3 linked regions of the Arabidopsis thaliana genome follow. The protein of the gene in region 2 interacts with the protein of the main gene of each other region in a pairwise test. Each region holds a gene or a part of one and is shown on either strand. Other genes may lie near its edges.

Region 1 (9,332 bases), on a different chromosome or scaffold from region 2:
ATGTAAAGATTATTTGCACTTTGGGTGAACTGTGTCGCACGTTTTGGGGCTTTTTAGTTCAACCATAGTTTTGGTTGTTGCAACGACAATAACAAGTAACGGCAAGAAAGTGTCTCTCATGCGTCAAATGTGACATTTCCGATAAAGTAACTTTGTTTTTTGAGTCTCAACTAAAGATTTATAAATTTATTGACAAGTGGTTCATAACATAGGTTTGCGTTTTGAATTAACTAGAGGCTATTAGCAATTAAGTGGTCATTTATCGTTTGTTGAATTATAGATTAAGTAGTTGAACATTAATTTCCAAATTCTCCCATCCAAATGACGTCAAATCTACACAACCTCTATATTAATCCAGCAATTTTAATTAAACACAAGAATGAAACTAAAAAAGCCAAACCACTTAGCAACAGTAACATACTGCTGCTTGTTCTGTTTGGTAGGACTGTACCAATCAGGCCCAGGAGATAAATGGACTTCGTCTGTCCCAAAGATATACAAGTACCTTTGGTTCTTTCTAGAGGCTTCTCAAATTAGCTTTCAAAATCTCCCATTTGCTATAATGACAATAATACCCTCACAGGCTCGCCGAATCAAAGCGATCATTTTAGCCTCAGCCCGCTCGTGCAGCGGTAAGGCTATTTACGTAAATTACTAAAAACCCCGAAAGAGAGAATTGTGAATTCTACTATCCATCCACCAAGCACTCTGTGTGCCTCTGCAAATTAACAATTTCCTCAGAACAATTACATTTCGATTCGATTCGATTCTCTTATCTTCTTGATCTCTGTTTGTTCATCTGTGGTGGATCTCCAGATGTTGGTTTTGAGAATTTTGTCGCGAGTAACCCGCAACGCGGGCATACGCTCATCTCTATCCGCCGTCACTCTTCCGGCGAGGAATCAGACTCCTGTTTTCTCGAGCCGGTTTCACTCCCTAGCTCACGATTTCTCGCATAAGGTTCGATTTTCACTCAAATTAATCACTATTCATGCCGAAATTGCAATTCAGGGTTTTGTTAGGGTTTAAGGCTTTCCCTCATTTGAGTTTCTAGAAATGATTGCTATCTTCTGATACTGTTTCCTTGATCTCTTATGTTTGAATCTTCAGATATATGAATAAACAATAGAAGAATGGTTTAGATTCTCTATAGGTTTTTGCTCTGTATCATTTCACTGAGTTTAACCCATTTTACTTTTTTTTTTGGGGGCAGCTTGTTCCAGCTCAGATGTCTATGATGGATTCGTTTGCACTGCAAAGGTTCAATTTTTCTTCCTCTACCTCGCCTGAATCAGATGAGAAGAAGACCCACACTGAGGCCTCAAAGACAAGTGAAGAGAAACCTACAGCTGAGGCAAACCAACCAGGTCTTGACTCTGAATCTAAAGATTCTGTGACAGATTCTGCAAAAAGAAAGCGGAAAGGTGCTAAAGGAGCTGCATCTTCATCTTCTGAATCAGATTCTGAGAGTGATGATGATGAATTGTCAGCCGATGATTTGGTGAAGCTCGTAGCTGAGAAGGAAGAGCTACTGTCTGAGAAGGAAGAAGAGATTAAGCAGTTGAAAGACAAAGTTCTTCGCACTTATGCTGAGATGGAGAATGTCATGGACAGAACAAGACGTGATGCTGAAAACACCAAAAAGTATGCCGTACAGGTTAGTCTTTAAGAACTTGGTTTGCAGCTTTTGTTTCATATAATAGTTTTCTGAAATATATATATTCACTATATATGTATGCAGAATTTTGCAAAGAGCCTATTGGATGTGGCGGATAATCTTGGAAGAGCTTCTTCGGTTGTCAAAGAAAGCTTCTCAAAGCTTGACACCTCAGAAGATTCTGCTGGAGCAGCTCCACTATTAAAGACCCTTTTAGAAGGAGTGGAGATGACTGAGAAACAGCTTGCTGAGGTAAATATCGAGAAATGTAATTATAAGACCTTAAGTAAGCAATGCAGATGAGACCGGTTAAACATGTGTGCCGCTGCAGGTATTTAAGAAATTTGGTATGGAGAAGTATGATCCTATAAACGAGCCATTTGATCCAAACAGACATAACGCAGTGTTCCAAGTCCCTGATGCTTCTAAGCCAGAAGGCACAGTTGCTCATGTCTTGAAGGTAAATATATAAAGCTTGCTCAATTCTTTGTCTCTTTATTTCATATTGTATAGTCTTAAATACCAATTAGTAATGATGGGTGTCAATATGTGCAGTCTGGATACACGCTGTATGACCGAGTTATAAGACCAGCTGAGGTTGGTGTTACCCAGGGAGGAGAGAACCAAGAAGAAAAGAAAGAGTCTGATGCTTAAGAAGAAGTCAGCTGGTTTTCATAAATTTTGTTACGGTTCTATGTTTCCATTAACATCTTCTCGAGTCTTCGAGTCATAGTTTTCTTTTGTGGTTTGGTTATTCATTAGATGAACAAGATCTCCCATAAGTTGCTGGACATGGCATTTGCAGGGGAAATCCTGCTTCTGTGTCTGTTTTCTCTATCTCCATGCTATAATTGAACGAGGAAAATATCATTTTACATCTCTTCTACTCGCACACTATTACCAAGTCTCTGTTTGATTAGTTAAATCAGATACAAATCAAGGTTTTACATGGTCTGATACAACCAGAAACTAACCATAGAGAAAGAAGCTGAAAACAGAGTCACAAAACTTGCACTCACTATTTAAAACCTCCCTTGCAACTTATGTTGAAGAATGTCTCCGAGCTTTTCATAAAGCATTTTCTGCTCCTCGTGTCCCAGGCTCCTCGATATCTGCAGGTATAATACAATCAATTATTTACAATGCCTCCGTATTCTTGGCTTATATGATGATTCTTACCTGGTCTAGGATCATCTCGACACTGTAGTCCCGATTAACAATGAAAGATTGGATGTAGATGTATGCGAAAACCGCCATAACCATCTGCATTTAGGCAACAAGATTCGTTTAAAACGATGCAAAGATCATATTGCACTTTTCGACGTTAGTGACTCTTACTTGGCAATCCATTCTGTCAGTAAATCCTCCATGTCCTGGTATGCTGTCTCCGAAATCCTGTCAAAGCGACATAAACTAGTAAATATTTGTTCTTGGATCTGTAGATACAAAACCTTTTAATGTTTGAAAAATGTGTTAACCTTGATCTTGAAAGCTCTTTTGAAACCGCTTGCGAAGAAGCCACCAAAAGGCGCCATAATGGATGCGAATAGACCGAGAGAAAAAGCATGCCATTGGACAGGCAGGGTCGAGATCCCTTTCCATGGAGACTGTTAAGCAAAGTTCACAACGGAGCTCAGTTTCAAAACAAGACAACATCATCGGCTGGTTTTCACGAGAGGACAGTTAATTGCTTACAAATGGAGTAATCCAAGAGGGAAATGGGTAATACTCTGGCCTGAAGAGAGGGCCTGGATCACAATGAAGCCAACCAGTTGATAAATCCTGCAAAAGATATGCAACACAAGGATGAAGTAAAGGCCGAGACAAAATATTGTGATGGAGATATCACTTTTTGTTACCTTCCTTGGACATGTAAGCCATTGGAACTGGCCTAAGACATTAGCAAACTGTTGTACGAAGCAGATAATAATCTATCAGTCTTGAGACCAAAAGAAAGAGTTACGAACGAATGAATAAATGATAGAAGAAGGTTATTACAATAAATGCAGAGATTATAGTTGCAACTGATGCTCCGATGAAACCTTCCCATGTTTTCTTTGGAGACAACTTGATGAGCGGAGTTTTCCCGAAATAGAAACCGAAGAAGTAAGCTGCTACATCGTTCATAGCAATCAGTGCTGCTGGTAGAAGAAACCTGCATATTTAAAAGAAATTAGCACTCGGGAAAACTATTATGCTTCAGTGGATATATATAAGAGTCCATTGTACCAGAAGATCCCTTCAAAAATATTGGCGACGGTGAAAGAAGATTGAGTAAAGACAACGATAAGGATCATATGTGTCCAAGCGTATTGCCCAAACTGATACTTATACATCTTATTCTTCAATGTAAGGATAAACCATATGAGACCTGAATCCAACTTAAGCTGTTAATAAATCAAGAAAGAGAGTATTGTTTTTGTGAAGAAAAAAGAAACAGACAAACCTGCGATGTACAAGAAGTAGCAAATAACCATCTGGTACTTGATAAGACCACTCACAAGCTTGTATATGAATCTATCTGAAGAAACCGTGTTGACTAGCTGCTGTTGAATGATGCGTCCATAGACAAACAACATAGCCGTGAAGAAGAAGTGCCAATTCAAGAGCCAGAAACCGGGTAAGCGACGTTCTTCATGAGCTCTTCTGCGAAGAAAGAAGAGCTCTTTGGCCATGAATATCTGTATAACCACAACCATAGCCCAAATGTAGAGATGACCCATGTAGATTATAAACACAACTCCACCGAGCATCCAGAGAGATGAGCATGTCCTTATCCACATTGATCTGTACTTGTTCTTATCACCAAGTAACAAATTGCTTACTCTGCTTACATTGCTTCTGTTCACCTCAGCTAAATTCTGATCAATATTGAAAAAGACAATCAAATTTTGGATTCAACCGGAAAAGAGAGTATGACATTGTATAGATACCTCGCTTGATCGCCTGCGGTGTCGAATGCGAGCTGTTGGAGAGCTAGGAGTATAATTGTAATCCCTTGGTGAATTAGGAATGTTGGGATAATGGTTATCTCTCTGGTTATTAGTATTCATTCGAGACGTTGGTGTAGTAGGGTAACTAGTATCCCTTAGCTTTCTAATCCGTGGAGAATTTGGACTGAGATCTTTCTCCATTGCCATTGAGATCCCTAGGAAATGCTCTCAGTTCCTGGATTGAGTTCTTGAAATTCAGTTAATCATGATGATCTGGGTTTCTTTATACATCCGAGGAAATGAATTTGGGGTTGATCTATAATTTCAAAATGTCAACCATAACTCGAGCTTATACACGTCTTAATGAAACACACACATTGATATCTGATGAGAGATTACTTGTGTAACAAGCATATAATAGAGGATTTAGATTTGAATGTGTAAGCCTAGAAATCTAAATGATTCATCAAAGCAAAACGTGATGATTCACATACAAAGGATAAATTTCATAAGTGAACATTGCAACAAAATGGGATCATGACAAGTAGAAAAAAGAGAATGAACTTACATTAACGAAAACGTGGTGGGATGATGGTGATTGAAAATGCGAAACCCTAATTAATGAAAAGAAACGTGAAGAAAGAAACTCAAAAGGTGAGGGAAGAAGGAGGAGGAGGAAGGTGGTGGATGAGCACTTAGCGGTGAGGTTTCATCAAATCATCGGAAGAGAGAACCAATAAACTATTCATGTCGCTGCTTCATGTTTAAACCCGGAATGAGTGACACGTGTTGTCTTGATCTGTTTGGGCTGGGTCAGATATTTAAGCCCATTAAGGAAAGCCTTTTAACTATTCAGACATGAGCATGAGGAGTCAACGAGGTCTGTGAGATCAGTGGTCAAATCAGTAAATAACGCGAAAAGACAGGGTCTCTCACCTTTTTGCTGTTGTTTTTTCCTCATTAATTATTGAGTTCCGTAAAATGGGTCCCACTTTTCCCATTTCCCAACCTCCATAACCAAAGTTGGAGATTTCTCTGTTTCCTATGCTCTCTCTCTCTCTTACTCTCACAGTGACTATTCGTCGCTTCAGATCTAAAAGAGAGGAAGATAAACCATTTGGATTCAATATCGATTAAGGTAAGAAAGCCATCTTCTACTTGTTGGATTCGATTAGTTTCATTTCAGCTCATTGCCTCTTTACTTCTTCAATGTTGATTTCTTGCTTTGGCTTTGGTTTTATCACCAATGCTGTTTGATTTCTTTGAAGTTCCTTTCGAGCTTTTCTTGAGCTTAGTTTCACATTCTTAGCTTCACTAAGTTCTTTGATGTGTTTTTGTTCCCAAGTTCAAAATGTTGTTTCTGATTCAATTTGGTTTTCTAAAAAAGATTGCAACTTTGGTTTCTTTTAGTGTATAGTTAGTTTGGATCTTCACTAAATATGTTCGTTGTTTCTACTTTTGTAGGAAACCTTTTGACTTCACAAGAATGGCAGTGACAGAAGCAGAAAATCCTCTTCTTGGTGAAATCACTTGTGGCACCTTACTACAGAAGTTGCAGGTAGATTTCGCAACATACACACTTATCCTTTTAATATATGGTTCCACAAACTCAATGTACAAACTTGTTACAGGAAATCTGGGATGAGGTTGGGGAGAGTGATGAAGAACGAGACAAACTGCTTCTACAGATTGAGGAAGAGTGTCTGAATGTTTACAAAAAGAAAGTTGAGCTAGCCGCAAAATCTCGTGCAGAGCTTCTTCAGACTTTGTCAGATGCCACTGTTGAACTTTCCAATCTCACAACTGCTCTCGGGGAAAAAAGCTATATCGACATTGTAAGTAATCTCACGTCTTACAAGTGGTAAAGAGATGAGATGGTTACAGTGTAGTGTGATTCAATGTCTTTGTTTCCATTGCAGCCTGATAAGACTTCAGGAACGATCAAAGAACAACTTTCTGCAATAGCACCTGCGCTTGAACAACTTTGGCAACAGAAAGAGGAAAGGGTCCGGGCATTTTCTGATGTACAATCACAGATTCAGAAGATATGTGAGGAGATCGCTGGCGGATTGAACAATGGACCTCATGTGGTTGATGAGACTGACTTGTCTCTAAAGAGATTAGATGACTTCCAGAGGAAACTCCAAGAGCTCCAGAAAGAGAAGGTAAAATATTAGTTGGGATATGGTTATGTGTGGCCTATGTTCAAACCAGAACTAAAACTGCTTTGTGTTTGAGCAGAGTGATAGGTTACAGAAGGTGCTCGAGTTTGTGAGCACGGTGCATGATCTATGTGCCGTCCTTCGTTTAGATTTCTTAAGCACTGTCACCGAAGTTCATCCGAGCTTAGATGAGGCAAATGGTGTTCAAACCAAGAGCATTAGCAATGAAACACTTGCAAGGTTGGCTAAGACTGTCTTGACTCTTAAAGAAGATAAAATGCAAAGACTTAAGAAGGTTAGTCAAAATCATGGTCTTTGTGATCTCTGACATGAGCTTGGTCAGTTTAGGCTGCACATATGTTGAAATCCTTTCTGATTAATTGCGCTGAAAGTTTGTAACTTTTCTCTGCACCATTCTTGTTTGTGGATTTCATTAATGTATCTTGGTTTTATGCAGCTTCAAGAACTAGCTACTCAGCTAACTGATCTATGGAATCTGATGGATACTTCTGATGAGGAAAGGGAGCTTTTTGACCATGTTACCTCTAACATTTCAGCTTCAGTTCATGAAGTGACTGCCTCTGGTGCTCTCGCACTTGATCTTATCGAACAGGTATCGTAAATTTGTAATGTATCAATCAATGTGTATGATAAGTACTGCTTTTAAAAATCTTCTGTGAACTCTTGAAGGCTGAGGTGGAAGTGGATAGGCTTGATCAACTGAAATCTAGCAGAATGAAGGAAATTGCATTCAAAAAGCAATCAGAGCTTGAGGAGATATATGCTCGTGCTCACATAGAAATAAAACCAGAGGTTGTTCGTGAGAGGATCATGTCGTTGATTGATGCTGGGAATACTGAACCTACTGAGTTACTGGCTGACATGGATAGCCAGATCGCAAAGGCCAAGGAGGAAGCCTTTAGTAGAAAAGAAATTTTAGACCGTGTAGAGAAATGGATGTCAGCTTGTGAGGAAGAGAGCTGGCTCGAAGATTACAATCGAGTATGCTAACATTGGCTATGTTAATAAACACATTACTTATTAAGCATAGAGTTCAATTGATGATTCTTTTGGGTTTTTGTTCTGGAAAAACAGGATCAGAACAGGTATAGTGCAAGCCGAGGTGCGCATTTGAATCTCAAGAGAGCTGAGAAAGCTCGGATTCTGGTCAGCAAGATTACTGGTAAGAACTTCCAAAAGTCTCTCTTAGTTATTACTACACATAGAATTAAACTGAGACTGAAGAATATATCATACTTTGTTTGTGCAAGCTATGGTTGACACGTTGATTGCTAAAACCCGGGCATGGGAAGAGGAGAACAGTATGTCCTTTGAGTACGATGGAGTTCCTTTACTCGCCATGCTAGATGAATACACTATGCTTAGGCAAGAACGAGAAGATGAGAAGCGGAGGCTGAAAGTAAGTTGTTTCATCCTGTGTTAAACCGATTGTTGAAACTAACTTCTTTTAAAATAATCTTGCCTTTTCATTAACAGGAACAGAAGAAGCAGCAAGAACAGCCACACACAGATCAAGAATCCGCCTTTGGGTCTAAACCAAGCCCTGCAAGACCCGTTAGTGCCAAGAAACCGGTGGGAACACGAGTCAATGGAGGAGGGCTCAACGAAACTCCTATGAGGCGTTTGTCTATGAACTCAAACCAGAACGGAAGCAAGTCCAAGAGAGACAGTCTGAACAAGATAGCTTCACCTTCGAACATTGTAGCCAACACAAAAGATGATGCTGCATCTCCAGTCTCTCGTGCTGACCCAGTGATGGCTTCACCGTGACAATATCAAAAGAAAGAGAGTTATAATGCTTACTTACACTTTTGTTAGTTGCTAATAGTGCTGTTTAAGAAACAAACACTTAGAAACAAAGACAATGAGAGTAGAATGTTACTTAGATGTTTCTGTTTCTGTATTCATTCACTCAAATTTGTTTGGTACTTGTTAGCATGACTAATGTGAAGTGACCGGTTTAGTGAATGAAAGTCAAGGTTCTAATTGGAATTACGAAATAATATTTGGGCAAAATTGTAATATACTGAAAGATCTTTTGGGCATGATTTAAAAGTTTAAAAAGTTTCCAAGAAGGTTTGGGATTTTAGAGGTCCTTTCTGCGACGTCGTTTCTAGTTTGCAATCAGAAGCGCGTTAAATACAGGAAAATTTCTTGAGCTGTTTTGTCTTAACAAATCAATCGGAGAAAAAGCTACGGAGCTCGAGAGAAGAGAGAATCTATGTCGAACCCAAACGAACCAGCCAGGGCTCTTCTGCCTTACCTGCAACGTGCCGATGAGCTGCAGAAGCATGAACCACTTGTTGCTTATTACTGTGAGTTTCGTTTTCTTATCTATATCTAACCTAGATGATCGCCTCCTGCGATTGTGTGTATTCATGGAATTTTGTGATTGATTAGGTCGGCTATATGCAATGGAACGAGGATTGAAGATTCCGCAGAGCGAGAGAACTAAGACCACCAATTCGATTCTCATGTCTCTCATTAATCAACTCGAAAAGGTATTACCTTTGAAGTTTTAAATTGTGAGTTTTTCTGATTTATTTCAGCTTGTTTGAT
Region 2 (7,505 bases):
TTTTGTGGAGGTTGTTCATCTTTTGCCAGAGTCAGAACAACAATGGCGGCAACAATCTGGACTAAAGCCACAACAAACTCGACCAAAATACAAACAGTGGTAAATGTAAATATATCACTCCATTGGACACCCTCATGCGGTCTTTTCTCATCAGCTGATGAAGGATTGCCATTGGTTGTAACGTCGACGATGTGCTCTTCATTTGAAGAAGAATCGCCATGGATTGTAACGTCATCGACGATGTGCTCACTCTGAGTCAACAAAGGGTCCTCCATTTATCACTTCTGCTTTCTTCTATTTTCCCCAATCGAATTAAAAGTCCTTATTAATCCGCTTTAAAACACAGAGCACATAAAGCCATCTCCAGTTCTTTGGTGCTTAATTATTATTTTAAGACCAATCTACGTCGAGATCTATTCTATAAGTCAATTGTAATATTTCGAAGTCGTCGTTCGGTTCTAAATTATTACTCCAGATCGACATCATTCGTAATCCTAGGTCAAATATAATTCATATTCATTCGACGTTTAATTACAAAGCACATGTTGCGTTTAGTTCTTTCGTGCTAAGAAGTGTCTAAAAGTCGTTGTAAAATAAAATTAAAAAAAATGAACAGTCGAAAAGTCAATTGTATGAAATTAAATGCATAATCGAAACTTTCTATTAAATATAAAATTCATATTATGATAAAAAAAATATGTATTACAATTCTTTCTATTTTGTTGAAATCGATTATTTAAAAAATATCTTTAAAACTTCAATTTTCAGAATTCAAATAAAAGTGATCATTAAAACATTACAATTACCTTAAACAAATCGGATGCGAACGTAACTGAAATGATATCTCAATAATTGAACCATATCTTAATATTGCAAGACAACGAATCTGAAGTTGAGCATAAACAAACGGAAAGAAAATTGAACTAATAAAACCTCTATGGTATCAGGATTAAAATTTGTATCCTAACCGTAACCAATATCAGATCAAACCATTCATATATATATTATTTATTTTGTTTTAAAATAAAACAATATCATATCTATAATTTTGGTATAAGAATTAATAACAAATTCTTATACCCAAAAAAAAACATAAAAGCATAGATATGTCCGATTCGTTGGAGCTAAATTATTATCTCGAGACCAACTGACCAATTCCAATTCTACGTTAATTATAGTCATTTATAATAAAATGGTTATGATATTATTTGGTGCTAAATTAGTAGTTTTTTTTTTTTAAGTTATAGACTTAAAGTGAAACACAAAGCCTAGACGGAACCTTTTGTGCCATTTTAAGACCAATATACAGCATCATTAATCTTTTAAAAGTCAATTAAGTTAACTTCCACGTCGTTATGACAGCGACAGTTAATGGAAGGTAGCCAGAGAAGTCACTGAAGAAGAAGGTGGTTCTTCAAAATCGGATCATATTGATGAGATTAAATTGTTTGTTGTGCAGAGGTATTGGCGCACAAAGATCGAGTGTTAAATTGTTTAGTTGAATAAAAGTTCGCAACATTGCACTACATTTTGATGTGTGCTTTAATTTAAAGGCTACCTCTGCTCTGCATGCGACCATTCAAGTTTTCATGTATTATTCCACTCCATAATTGACCCCCAAGGCCCCAACTGATGCAAAAACACTAATATTTGGTTACGGCTGATTTCTTCAGTCATATATATGTGAAAAACCAATTAATGGTCTTCACACTCCCATATAGCAGGTTATCTATTAGTGCCCTTAACCGAACCCGATCGAGATTGATTGAAGTCATATCATCTCTATCAAGTAGTTATCATCTTCAGGTTCCTTGTGGGTTGTTTGATAGCATAAGAACATATATGTTATGGGTGCACTCTTAAAAAGAATTGTCGGGCGTGCCACATGCTGTCTCAACATGAAGCGCTTCATCAAGATGGCCAAAGAGGCCTTTTACAATAGACAAACCAGTTGTACATGTTGAAATGCAGATACTGAAATGTTTATCTTGCTGCAGAGATATTGGTACAGAGAAGCCTTTAGTTTCAGTTTTGCCGGCCATTTCAGGAATAGAGGATTCGGTAATGCTAATGACACTTGGCTTTATTTAATAAATAGAAAGAGAGTATTACAACAATTGTTGAAGAAAACAACATGATCCATCATTTTTATCCGCACATTCCAATGATCCACGAAAAGGTTAACGCAAAGAGTCCAATGATGACCAAAAAGAGTGAGAGTAACGAATTAATCATCGTTACTATGGCGGCCACAAGTGCAGTAACAAGGGACACCCCAGGCAACATGAATAACTGTACGGTAAATTGGAAATTAGGAAGCACATATCGAATGCAACTGAAAGCAAGTAGACCCAGCCATAACCTGGAAAAGGACATTTGTTAGTTCTAGAGAGGTAAATTATGTTGTTTAGCCATAATTGTAAATTTAGTTAGATGCGCACCAGAAGTGTCGACTAGTATCTTGACGTGATGATGACTCGGTTAGAATATGCCATAAAGACACCACAATCAAGGACACGAAGAAAGATTCAAGAAAATTTTCCAAACGGTACTCCATCACCTCGTTGCTGCAAATCAATAAAAACCATTGTTGAGGATATCAGTCTCTAATGCCTGAAAAAGAAAAAGAAACACAGTTTATACCTTGTCTCTGAGCTAGCGTTTTGGATATACTGCCATAAACGGCAACATACAAAAGGCAAAGTGGCAATAGAGGCACAAGTATAAAAGATGATCCATGTAAACAAAGCTACATCTAGTTCTGGATCTCGTTCATCTTTTGTTAGAATCAGAAAAAATATGGCTGCAACAATCTGGACCAAAGTCACAGCTAACTCGACCAAAATCCAGAAACTTCCACTTGTAAATGGACAACTCCATTGAAATGCCTCATGTGGAGTTTGCTCATGATCAGCTGATGACGAACCGCCATTGATTGTAATGTCGATGATGTGCTCATCATTTGAGGAAGAATCGCCATGGATTGTAACGTCTTCGACGTTGTGCTCACTCTTGGTTAACAAAGGGCCCTCCATTGATCACTTTTTTGCTTTCTTCTATTTTGTCCAATCGAATTAATAGTTCATCTAAACAAGCGTTGAAATACAAATTACATAAAGCCCTCTCCGATTCTTTGGTGCTAAATTATTATTCTAAGACCCAATCTACGTCAAGATCTATTCTATAAGTCAATTGTAAACTTCTAACGAACAAAAAAAAAGTTAGTCATTCTTCTCTAAATACGAATAATAGACATTTCCAGCTATATTATTATCTTAAGACCTAATCGACACCAATACCAATTCTAAGTCAATCACATAAAGTCCTTTACAATGAGTAGACTTTCGGAGCTACATTTGTTTTGTGTGTTTTTGTTTTACCTACACCAAGACCAATTATTAGTCAATTGTAGCCCGTTAGAGTAAAATTTCAAAATATTTGGTTCTAAATTATAGTCTTCCTAATTCTTTGGTGCTTGATGTATTATTTGGGAAGCTAGAAGAAGTAATATGTCTTTTTTGTAAAAGGAGAAATCTTTGGTGTTAAATTTTATTATTTGGGAAACTATAATATTTTATTATTTTTCTTAGTTATCTTATCTTTGGTGTTAAAGTTATCTATATATCCATTTCGATTTACCCAAATCTGTCAAAATAATAAGGCCTATAAAAGGTTATTCTGAAACACGTGATTATTTGGGTAAATGTCACAATGAGGTAGGACTCGACTCGAAATAAGTCAGATTTTAAAAAGCCCATTAAAGTACGGGCCCTTAAAATACATATCTGAATAGCGAAAACGCACGAATAAGAATGGTCAGTCAAAACTGTCATTTAATGGAGAATAATATTAACGAGGGAGAAAAATAAAATAAAAAGAGGAAATAAGACGAGATGATCATATTTGATCATTTCAAAAAACCTTAGCTACTGTTTTTCTCTACCTTAATAAGATTAAAATCATCAACATGAACACAAAACATTTTTATTCTGGTACTCTGCTTTACTTTGATTTTAAACGCCCATTCTCCTAGGCTTACAAACAAAATATTTTTATTAGTTCGATTTCAGCAGATGCATGATACAATGCATGCTACAATGCCTTTTAAGACTTCCACAGCAAGGAGAACACATATGACCACAGGCGTAAGTAAAAGCAAAGGAGTAGTATAACAGACCATTGCCAATGTTAGATTAAAAAGAACATATCTAATGCAACTGAAAGTAAGGAGAGCCAAACATAACCTGCAAAAGAGACAATGAAGAAGGCCAAAGGCATGAGTATAAGAAAGGTCAATATATACGTTTTAAGGTATACATATGATTGGAAATTTCGTTTGATACGCACCAGAAGTATTGAGTTGTAGTATCATCTAGAGCTGATGAGTCGAATGCTTTGGAAGAAAGAATCCATAAAAACACCACATACCAACCCACGAAGAAACCCGTCATAAAAAAGTCCATATCCTTGTTGATTCTGCAAACCAATAAAACCATTATATCTCAATCTAATGCATAAAAAGATAAAAGAAAACACAATTTATATATACCTTGTCTCTCTTAAGTATTCATCTGTAGATTCGGAGCCAACGCTTCGGTTATAAAGCCAAAAACGCCAACATAGGATAGGGAGAGTGGCAATACAGCCACATGTATAACCGATGATCCATATAGACAACATTGTTTGTGGATGTTCTTCATCTCTTGGCTCAATCAGAACGATTATGACCGCAGCAATCAAGACCAAAGTCACAACAAACTCGATTGAATTACAAATGCTTTCATTTGTGTATGGATCACCCAATTCAACACCCTCGTGTGGTTGCTGACCATCAATTGATGAAGAACTACCATCGCTTGTAATGTCAATGATGTGTTCACACTCGCTCAACAAAGGGCCCTCCATTGATCACTTTTGGTTTTTCCTATTTCTTGCCGATCAAATGAAAAGTTCATTCAAATTTGCGTTGACGAGCACAAAGCATATACCTTTCCTTCTTTGTTGATAAAATTATTAGTATTTTTTTAGACCAGATCAATACTAAGTACGTATTAGTCGTGTTACAAATAAAACATTATTTTGAAAAATGAAGATCAAAGCTGAGATTTCAATGTTTATATATATTGCAGATGTTTTGGACAAGTTAAATTGTTAATAGGTCAAATGATCTGTATGATATTTATTTTCTGTTTTAAGACAGACAACACAAGAAGACAGGATCGTATCTTTCAGTTTCCCACCACTTTTGTTTATTGAATGTGTACAATTACTCTTGAGCGAAAAAAAAATAAAAAAAAAATCAACCTCATCTCATCACCACCTAACTTGTGATTGACAGAGAGGGCATGTGGATTTGATTTTCAGCCATTTGTCTATACATTGCGAATGAAATACGTGTGAGCATTCAAGTTTCCTTAGTCCTACTCCTTTTTCCTCTCCATATTTCCCCAAGCATATGCAACAACTCTGCACACACCATCAAACCATGAAAATTAAACAACAACAACAACAAAAAAATGCTATTTAAAACAGAGTAATTAATGTGATATGAAATTATTACTCACATCATCATGGCTCGGTTTCTTGAAAACAAATCTACCTCCTATACCTTCCCTTACAGAATCTACATCATTTGATTTCAACTTATCCACATCATAGATATGAGAAAAAAATGTTCCAAACTCTAGTGAACATTAAGCGAAAAAAATACCTGCGCATAATAGTAATGCATATGCAAATCTAATGCAACTGAAAGCAATGAAGACTACACATAACCTGCCAAAACATAATCAAGAAGACAAAAGTTAGTACTGATTAGTTAGGGTTTAACTAAATCTCTACTGTGACATGATTGTGAGTCAAACCTGTAGAGCTTAGGAGTATCAGAAGAAGATGAGTGTCCATAACAAATCCATAGAATCCCCATAACTAACCACACAACAAAGAAACATTCATTCCCCATCTTCAAAGCATCCATTACCCTATCCGTTCTGCCACCAACAACGGTTCGGTTTGATTTAGCTAATTAAACTCTTAATGTTAAGTGAAACAAGTGTTGTTTATTATACCTCGTTTTTGAGTAAACACCAATTCGGTTGTATTTGCGGACACACGAGAGGAGAATAAGGAGCGTAATGGTAATACAGCCACAAGTGTAACCGATGACCCATGTTAACAAAAGTGCTTGTTGATGTTCATCTTTTGCCAGAGTTAAAACTATTAATGATGCAACAATCTGAACCAAAGTGACTACTAATTCCATTATATTCCAAAGACTACCACAGTCTCTCGTAGATGAACTTGCACCTTCATCTGACGATTCGTCATCCGTAGACAGAGACGAACTTAATGAAGGATAGCTTCTCTCGTCCAAAGACGATCTTGATGAAGAATCTTCATCGTTTGTAATGTCGATTATGTGATCATCATTATCACTGTGGGATTCGCTGTCCATTATCACAAAGTCTTGTTGTGTTATTCATTGGCTAAAGCCAGCCGACAATATATTATACGCAATTCTACATGATCAATCGAAAACTAGAAATTGTGTACAAGGAAATTTGACTAATCTAGCTTATCTATCAACATGTGAACATTCCAAAAATGTACTATTGGAGATACAAAGATATGGAAATATCTATGAAAAATGGAAATATATCCCGTAATTGATATTTTGATCAGTTCTGTTTCTATTTCGTAACAAATAATGACAAAAGTATGGTGTACATGTGTAGATTACGTATGATGTAATGAAAGTATCGGGCACATGTGTGAATAGCAGAAACAAGATATATGACGAAAACGTAGATGCATTTTTTTCTTTGAAATTATGTATGCACTGTGTAGTGTGTTACGTGTAGAAAAAAATGAAATAATATAATAACTTGTCTTAGCCTTGAGTAACACGTGTTCGGTTGTCGAGAAACATAAATATACGTAGATTTTAAAGTGCACTAATATATATTCGACCATGAATATGTTGTTTTATTATTATGTCGTTGATTAAAAGAATGGGATACAGACATAACAAATCACACATAACATGGGATGTCTAATAGAAAGTAACGTGTTTCTGATCCAACGGCTGAGAAAGAAACCCTACTTTGTCGGTAACAAAATCGTGGCCGTCCAGTGTGTCGAACCAACGGATCCATATTATCGACATTTAAACACGAAGCGGCAAAGGAATGAAAAAACATGACATAAAAATTTCGACAAGATCTTCGAATGGGGCCGACAAGATAAATCAATGCTAAACAAGCTTGTCTCAAACGCCATCGTTTATGTTCCCATGAGAACATATAAAGTGGCAACAGAATAAAGTTCAAACACATTAACACCAATACTTTCAATCAAAAACATCAAAGATGGCGAATGAGAGTAATAATCTTGGACTCGAAATCACCGAACTACGGCTAGGTCTTCCCGGAGATATCGTCGTCTCCGGTGAGTCCATCTCCGGGAAGAAGAGGGCTTCTCCGGAAGTAGAGATTGATTTGAAATGT
Region 3 (7,819 bases), on a different chromosome or scaffold from region 2:
CCACCGGTGCCACCTGGGACGACGGTCTCTCCTTGCTTCGCCTTCTCATCAAGCTCTTCTCTGCTCAGTTGCTTTGACGCCATTTTTTGAAGAAAAAAACACGAACGATATGTAATTAAGTAAGTTGCTTTTAATTTGGATCTATGTTCCGACACAGATACGGACGACGTAATTATTCCTATAAATAGAAACGTTTGTGTTCCAAAGGAAACAAAAGGAGAGAAAAAGTGAAGTGCTACGTGGAAGAGAAGACGCGGCGAGACTAGAAATAATGGGCTTTACGGAGATGACACGTTGATGCTTACTCAGTCAACTTGCTACAGTTATTAACGAGCTGCTTGACACGACTCCGATTAATCTTAATCCATTTTCTGTTTCCCCCAAGAAATCAAGATAATTACCCACATTTGGGATTTTTTATAAAACTGTTTTCCGTGTTAGGTCTTTTCAATATCAGTTAGATAGTACTATTATTTATCTATTTGAAATCTAAGTGCAATATTTCGGATAAATATGTTTTAAAGTTAAAAGTTTTATATTTATTCACATCATAAGAAAAATATAGGTGTTATTAGAAGAAGAGATTTATAAATCGATCACACATAATAACTGGGAAGAGAAGGTAGCTTCGAGGATTAGTTGGTTTACTTGTCGACAAAGTCATATCTACCATGTAATAATTAGGTCTTTTTCAAGTTTTGAGTTTGGAGACATTTATTTGAGTTTGACTTTGGTCTTATTATATGCTTGGGCTATTGTACACGTTTGACTCATGCTGATTAGAGTATGTATAGTTAAATATAATAATTAAAATGTTAGAATCTGGTGTGGATTAGACTTTCGCGACATTGTTGAAAATTTGTGAATGCATCTATCTAAAAGTTGGTTTAGTGGAGTTTCTATGTGCACAACTGAAGTACATCACTATATTTGGACAATATTGAATTATATTTGAATTTATTGTCTTGAAGAATAATTTGCAACATTACATACCAAATGTTGGCTCTCTTACGGAGAGCGTATAAGCGCCACTTGACGTGGGCTTATATGGGCCCGGTTAAGGGTAAATGTTTAGTGGCCACAATTCTGAAACAGCTTCCCTTCTTCGGCCCATACTGGAGTACAAAAGTAACGCAATTAAGAAAAAGCGTTACAGGATTAATCCAAAACGGCATCGTTAGAAGAAGAGAGCACACATAGCGAAAACCCTAGTACCTTTATTTGAGCCAACACTTTCATTTCTCTCCTTCTCCACCAGTTTTCCCCCAATCGCTCCTCCTTAAACCCTAACATTTTTGCTTCCCCTGTTTCGATTCTCGAGAGTTATCAGAGATGAGTTCGGACGATGAGAGAGACGAGAAGGAGCTGAGTCTTACCTCTCCTGAAGTCGTCACCAAGTACAAGAGCGCCGCTGAGATCGTTAACAGTAATACACCCTCTCTTTCTTCCTTTCTTGTTTTAAGTCCGATTTGGATTTAGGGTTTTGAAGGTGTAGCTTTATCGAGTATTGATTTCTGTTGGGTTTTCAATTGCAGAGGCGTTACAGGTTGTTTTAGCTGAATGCAAACCAAAAGCTAAGATTGTTGATATCTGTGAGAAAGGAGACTCTTTTATTAAAGAGTGAGTATATCTCAATTTGTTCTTAATGTAGATTCGACCTTGGATTACTCTTAGATATTTATGTGTTTGTTCTTTCTTCTGTTTTTGTATTAAAGGCAAACAGCAAGCATGTACAAGAATTCTAAGAAGAAGATTGAGAGAGGTGTTGCGTTCCCTACATGCATTTCTGTGAACAACACTGTTGGTCATTTTTCACCGCTTGCTAGTGATGAGTCTGTGTTGGAAGATGGTGACATGGTTAAAATGTAAGTTGTCTTCAAGTAATACCTGTTTTTAGATGTTTCTGTATGATTCACCTGTGTTATTTCTGATGTTGTTTTGCGTTTCTCAATTGCAGCGATATGGGATGTCATATTGATGGGTTCATTGCCCTTGTTGGTCACACACATGTTCTTCAAGAAGGGCCTCTTAGTGGGCGTAAGGCTGATGTTATCGCTGCCGCAAATACTGCAGCTGATGTTGCTCTAAGGCTCGTACGTCCTGGAAAAAAGGTATCATCAGTTTTACTCTTACATTAAACTTGAAACTATAGGCTTTTGGTACTATAACTGCCTCTTGAATGATTGTCAAGGTTTTACAAAACCCAGATGATGAACACTTAATAAATGGCTATGGATTATTATCCATATGATGCTTTTTTGTCATAGTTACTCTGATGGGATTTTTCTTATTCTGATTTTTAGTCTGATCCCTCGTTGGATTTACTATGAGATGTTGGAACTTTGTCTAAGGTTTTCCTCTCTTGGTCTTGCACGATGCTTTTTTTTTTTAGCGGACTTCAAATGTAAATTGTTTTGGGAAAAGATTTCTGGATGAAGACCGTAATTGTTATGGATTCGCATCCAAATGAGGCCGTAGTTACTCTGATGTGGGAAAGTTCTTTAAAATAAAGTTTCTTGCTACGAGTTTGTAGTTTCTTGTTTAGTACTACAACATATTGCAATCAAGACATTGATATTCTGTTTTTCTTATCGCAGAACACTGATGTAACTGAAGCTATTCAGAAGGTAGCTGCAGCTTATGACTGCAAAATTGTTGAAGGTGTTCTTTCCCACCAGCTGAAACAGCATGTGATAGATGGAAACAAGGTTGTGCTTAGTGTATCCAGCCCTGAAACAACTGTTGACGAAGTGGAATTTGAAGAGAATGAAGTCTATGCAATAGATATTGTGGCAAGTACTGGTGATGGCAAGGTAATTTCTTTTGTTTATCGCATCCCGATCACTATTGGTGAACCTTTGTCTATTGCCATTGTTCTCACAATCTTTGACTTTGCAGCCAAAGCTATTAGACGAGAAGCAAACAACTATTTACAAGAAAGATGAAAGTGTTAACTATCAGTTGAAGATGAAGGCCTCCAGATTCATAATCAGCGAAATTAAACAGAACTTCCCCCGTATGCCATTCACTGCAAGGTGTCTTTTGTACCTTCTGAAGCATTTTATATTCCTTAAACTATTATCTCACTTGCTAACGTTACCTGAGAGTATTATCAATACAGGTCACTGGAGGAGAAAAGGGCACGGCTTGGACTTGTGGAGTGTGTGAACCATGGTCATTTGCAACCATATCCTGTTCTTTACGAGAAGCCTGGTAAGGATGATGAAAGGGTTTTGAATCTATAAACCTCTTTTATCTGAATCTTGATATCAAGGCTCATGTCGTTTTGGTTTTCTACCAGGGGATTTTGTTGCTCAGATTAAGTTCACAGTTTTGCTGATGCCAAATGGATCAGATAGGATCACTTCACATACACTTCAGGAACTTCCTAAAAAGACCATCGAAGACCCTGAGATCAAAGGGTGGTTAGCTTTGGGCATCAAGAAGAAGAAAGGTGGTGGAAAGAAGAAGAAAGGTAAGAACTTAAAATAAATTTCCAGACTTTTACCTTATATGACGTGATCCACATGTTGATTAAAAAGGTTCAATTTGGTGTTTTGCAGCCCAAAAGGCGGGAGAGAAAGGAGAGGCTTCAACAGAGGCTGAGCCAATGGACGCAAGTAGTAATGCTCAAGAATGAGTAGGAAGATTTGTCTTTGTTTCTTTTAAAGAATTTTTGAAACTTGAGGTACCTCTTTCGTTGTATGTTTGGGTTTCAAGAGAGTCTCTTCTTAAACAAAAAAAAACAAACAATAGTTTACCACCTTTGTGCATATTTTTGCACAAAGCACTTTTCATCATCATTTCTTTGCTTGTCCTAATCTTATCTCATTCTCTAATCAAAAATACTTATCTGGTTTCAGGCTATAACAATAACTCTGTTTAGAAACACTTGTTACCAACAAACTACTCTTTGAATGTGTTTACGTGGTAAGGATTTGATCCCACAGAAGAGAAATATTTGTGACAGAAGAAAAAAACTCAGCTCTTCAATAATCGAAGCTTATACAGATTTTTGGATTGGTTGATTTTGAGATTGTAACGAATAGTAATCAGAATTTCACTTAAGAAATTGTGATTGAACCCTCTAAACCACAGAGAGGGTTCTTGACGTGGTCCATAGTTCTTCAGTGGGGCGGCTTGTGGCTTCTTTTTCATTTTTCCAGAAAACCCCATAAACCTCTCGCTCTCGGGAATTTGATTGATTCCCACGAGGAAAAATCAATCTTCCCGGAAAATGGCAGCTAGGTTATTGTTCCGTCGAAGTTCTCAAATCCTCCGATCAATTCAACGAAATCCTCAAATCTCATCGTCATTCGAATCACCACCTTGCCCGATTTTTCACTCATTGACCACCGCCTCACCAGATCCATCGCGATTATCATCCTTAACCTTCCTCCGATCTCTCTCCATCGCTCGTCGCGGTCCAACACGTCCTAAGAAAATCGATATCGGAGCCAAAGCGCGTCAGATGCAGAATCGCCGTTTATGGACCTACGCGCTAACCTTCAGCTGCATCGCCGGATTCGTAGTTATCGTCCTTAACCAATTTCAGGATCAGCTTGTCTTCTACCTAACGCCATCAGACGCTATGGAGAAATTCGCAGAGAATCCAACAAAGAACAAATTCAGACTCGGTGGTTTGGTTCTAGAAGGTAGCGTTGCGCAGCCGGCGGCGTCACAGGAGATGGAGTTTGTGATCACTGATCTGATCACTGATATTTTGGTTAGGTATAAAGGATCTTTGCCGGATCTGTTTAGGGAAGGTCATTCAGTTGTGGTTGAAGGATTCATTAAGCCGTATACAGATGAAGTAAGGAAGGAAGTTTCTACAAAACCTATTTCGAAGAAAGCTAGGAACCTCGATTGTTTCTTCTCGGCGACTGAAGTTTTGGCTAAGCATGATGAGAAGTATATGCCACAGGAAGTTGCGGCGGCGATTGAGAAGAATAAGAAAATTATTGAAGCGGCGGCGACTGAACAAGCTGCTGAAGTTGCGGCTTCTTAGATTGGTATAAACTTCATTCTTTTTAAGTTAATCAAAATTTTCCCCAAGTTCGAGCTTTTGGTGAGTATTGTTCATCTTATAAGGTTATATTTGATTATAGTTTCTGGAAAAGAGTAGGAAGATTGGAATGTTATATTCCTGGAAAACAGAGATTTGATTTTTGAGTCTATTTGAGAATTAAGTGGAGAAATGTGATACACTATACAATAGCTTTGTTTGATTCCACAAAGCTATAAGCTAATCTACTTTCTTGTTGTGTTGATCAAATAAAGAACACTTTGACGAGGGATCAAATATGCTGCTTGATTCATTGTGTTGTTGGATGTTTTGTTTGTTGTTGATGTGCACACAGATTAGAGAAGCTATGTTTTGTTGCTGCACACAGATTAGATTGATCTAGTGAATCTTATTAGCTTCATCAGGTCGTGGGTATATAATTGTAAACGTATCACCAAAGTTGTAGCTTGTGTGACCTTATTCTTATCATGACTAGGTACTATAGCCAAAAGAGTTGAACATACAGGTCTTTCAGAGCTTCCTCTTAGTTGTTCTGGAGGTTCCAAGCTCTTTCTTTGTTGTTTTATAAATATGGGTTGAGCTTGTTGACAATCTTGAAGATGGTCATGCATTCCTTTTATGCATCTTATGTTTCAACTAGGCAATTCTGGCCCTGGAGATTTCAAGTTTGTACTTTCTGAGTCGATTAGGTGCCTAGTTTTTGCCTCTAGAATCATGGCATTGGCTTCTGTTTTGGCACTTCTCTTAGGCTTGTTGGTTGATAACCAACTACTAGTCTACTAATGTAGCTGTAGTTTGAAGTGTTCCGCAGTTACGCTATTGCTTTTGCTTTTTTTAAGTGCATCTTTATATATGCATCAGTCTCTCATTGTATAGCAAATTTATCGTGGGTGGTATATGATTCAGTCAACAAAAACTGACTATCAAGTATGGAACGAGTGGTATATGATTGAGTCATCAAAAATACTGACTATCAAGTATGGAACAAGAGCATTACGATATTTGTCACTACTATATTCGATTGCTATTGTGTGCTTGGTCCATTTTGAATATGGGACAAATCACCATTACTATACTTGCTGCCCTATACTAACTAGATTATTCCATATTCCTCGTAGATAGTTTTTGTTTTTTGGTTCAGAGAAAGTTCAGATTTTAGGCCTATAAGTTCTTTTGGTTGGGGACCATATCAAGTTAAATCTCTCACTATATGCATTGTGGCGGTTCGGCCGACCTGTCTAAAATTGGGCTTGTTCAAATCCTGCCTCAAATCCTGCCAAAGCGTGAGTTATATACATATACATTGACACTGAATCATTCCATCCAGGGCCGGTTGGCTGGATCCAAAATCAGTCGTTACCTATTTTTGGCAATCTTAAACTTATTGATTTTTTTTTTCTGACGTTTCACAAATCATCATCATATGTGAAAAACCAAAACATCTATATTAAGAAGAAAAAAAATATTGTTACAATTTCTGAAAATATTTGGTTCATTTAGTCCTTAAAAATTCTAATTACCAAAAAAGACAAATATATAACAATTGAAACACATGTGTGTTATCAGGAGAATTTGTATGTTTTGAGGAGGTGTGCATCATCCGTCTATCAATACCCTGACAAGGAAAACCCTAATTTTTTTTGGCCCAAAGGGTTTTATACTTTAATCTCATACTCCGATTCATTGTCGAAAAACGATGATGCATAATTCAACCGAAGAATCGGAATGGGAGGTGAGACCTGGTGGTATGCTCGTCCAACGAAGAGACGACGCCGCTTCCTCCGACCACAAACCTCTCCAGGATCCCGACTCTGCTTCCGCCGCTTTTGCTCAAACCATCAGAATCACTGTTTCTCATGGCTCATCGCACCACGATCTTCATATTTCTGCTCACGCCACTTTCGGTAACAAAACTCTCAGCTCCGTTTCTGATCCATCGCCTGAAAATTCCAAATAATCGAAGCCTGAGAGAATTTAGCGTGATTCATTATGAAATTTTTCTTGCTCTATTTAGTTTTTGTTGAAGTTGTGTTAGTGTAGTTGAAGATTGATATGTTTAAGCTCGAATGTGATAACTAGGGGATGTGAAGAAAGCTCTTGTTCAGAAAACTGGATTGGAAGCTAGTGAATTGAAGATCTTGTTCAGAGGAGTTGAGAGAGATGATGCTGAACAATTGCAAGCTGCTGGTGTTAAGGATGCGTCTAAGCTTGTTGTTGTTGTTGAGGATACGAATAAGAGAGTGGAACAACAGCCTCCTGTGGTAACTAAAGAGATGGAAAAAGCTATTGCTGCTGTTAACGCGGTTACAGGAGAGGTCGATAAGCTCTCGGATAGAGTGAGTTTTTATAAGCCTGTATTTCTTTTGGAGATGACGGAAGGATTGTGCTTAAGCTAGTTTTTTTTGGTAATTAGGTTGTTGCTTTAGAAGTTGCTGTGAATGGAGGGACGCAAGTTGCGGTGCGGGAGTTTGACATGGCTGCAGAGCTTCTTATGAGGCAGCTGCTCAAATTGGATGGCATTGAGGCTGAAGGGGACGCTAAAGTACAGCGTAAGGCTGAGGTTAGTTTTCTTGCTTTGTTAAGCATGTTTACACGGTAAGAGTGTTAATAGAGTTGGAAGATATATGAGTTGTGGTTTGTGTTGGCAGGTACGTAGAATCCAAAACTTGCAGGAGGCTGTGGATAAGTTGAAGGCAAGATGTTCAAATCCGTTTGTGGATCAGAGCAAAGCTGCAGCTGTAAGCACTGAGTGGGAATCGTTCGGAAACGGTGTCGGAAGCTTGAACCCTCCTC

Evidence for each region.
Region 1: the proteins of AT1G15610 (region 2) and AT4G26770 interact in a protein complementation assay, tested with the Arabidopsis thaliana proteins (one large-scale study listed by BioGRID).
Region 3: the proteins of AT1G15610 (region 2) and G1 interact in a protein complementation assay, tested with the Arabidopsis thaliana proteins (one large-scale study listed by BioGRID).

The regions. Positions count from the first base shown.
Region 1 is NC_003075.7:13,478,045-13,487,376, reverse strand, and holds AT4G26770 (Phosphatidate cytidylyltransferase family protein), read right to left. Parts: upstream 5,314-9,332; 5' UTR 5,159-5,313; intron 4,826-5,158; 5' UTR 4,798-4,825; coding exon 4,591-4,797; intron 4,519-4,590; coding exon 4,104-4,518; intron 4,029-4,103; coding exon 3,887-4,028; intron 3,813-3,886; coding exon 3,656-3,812; intron 3,565-3,655; coding exon 3,517-3,564; intron 3,440-3,516; coding exon 3,353-3,439; intron 3,265-3,352; coding exon 3,136-3,264; intron 3,053-3,135; coding exon 2,996-3,052; intron 2,921-2,995; coding exon 2,837-2,920; intron 2,770-2,836; coding exon 2,680-2,769; 3' UTR 2,434-2,679; downstream 1-2,433. Other genes in the region: AR192 (Co-chaperone GrpE family protein), read left to right, coding at 817-960, 1,214-1,657, 1,742-1,909, 1,989-2,117, 2,213-2,311; MAP65-2 (microtubule-associated protein 65-2), read left to right, coding at 6,077-6,148, 6,222-6,425, 6,510-6,755, 6,832-7,047, 7,210-7,365, 7,443-7,754, 7,848-7,935, 8,024-8,172 and 1 more; EXT-like (hydroxyproline-rich glycoprotein family protein), read left to right, coding at 8,995-9,088, 9,174-9,274. UniProt on the Arabidopsis thaliana protein: May be involved in the synthesis of minor phospholipids and in modulation of IP3-mediated signal transduction.
Region 2 is NC_003070.9:5,366,323-5,373,827, reverse strand, and holds AT1G15610 (uncharacterized protein), read right to left. Parts: upstream 3,072-7,505; 5' UTR 3,036-3,071; coding exon 2,644-3,035; intron 2,568-2,643; coding exon 2,442-2,567; intron 2,363-2,441; coding exon 2,149-2,362; downstream 1-2,148. Other genes in the region: AT1G15620 (uncharacterized protein), read right to left, coding at 1-275; AT1G15600 (uncharacterized protein), read right to left, coding at 4,067-4,244, 4,348-4,476, 4,550-4,905; AT1G15590 (E3 ubiquitin-protein ligase), read right to left, coding at 5,596-5,623, 5,865-5,990, 6,069-6,454; IAA5 (indole-3-acetic acid inducible 5), read left to right, coding at 7,368-7,505.
Region 3 is NC_003074.8:19,207,082-19,214,900, reverse strand, and holds G1 (transmembrane protein G1P-related 1), read left to right. Parts: upstream 1-4,051; 5' UTR 4,052-4,237; coding exon 4,238-5,008; 3' UTR 5,009-5,386; downstream 5,387-7,819. Other genes in the region: EM1 (Stress induced protein), read right to left, coding at 1-83; ATG2 (metallopeptidase M24 family protein), read left to right, coding at 1,333-1,426, 1,536-1,620, 1,716-1,865, 1,958-2,111, 2,598-2,813, 2,899-3,035, 3,122-3,213, 3,275-3,475 and 1 more; BAG4 (BCL-2-associated athanogene 4), read left to right, coding at 6,723-6,930, 7,106-7,362, 7,440-7,586, 7,675-7,819. UniProt on the Arabidopsis thaliana protein: Heme-binding chaperone that may be involved in cytochrome c maturation in mitochondria.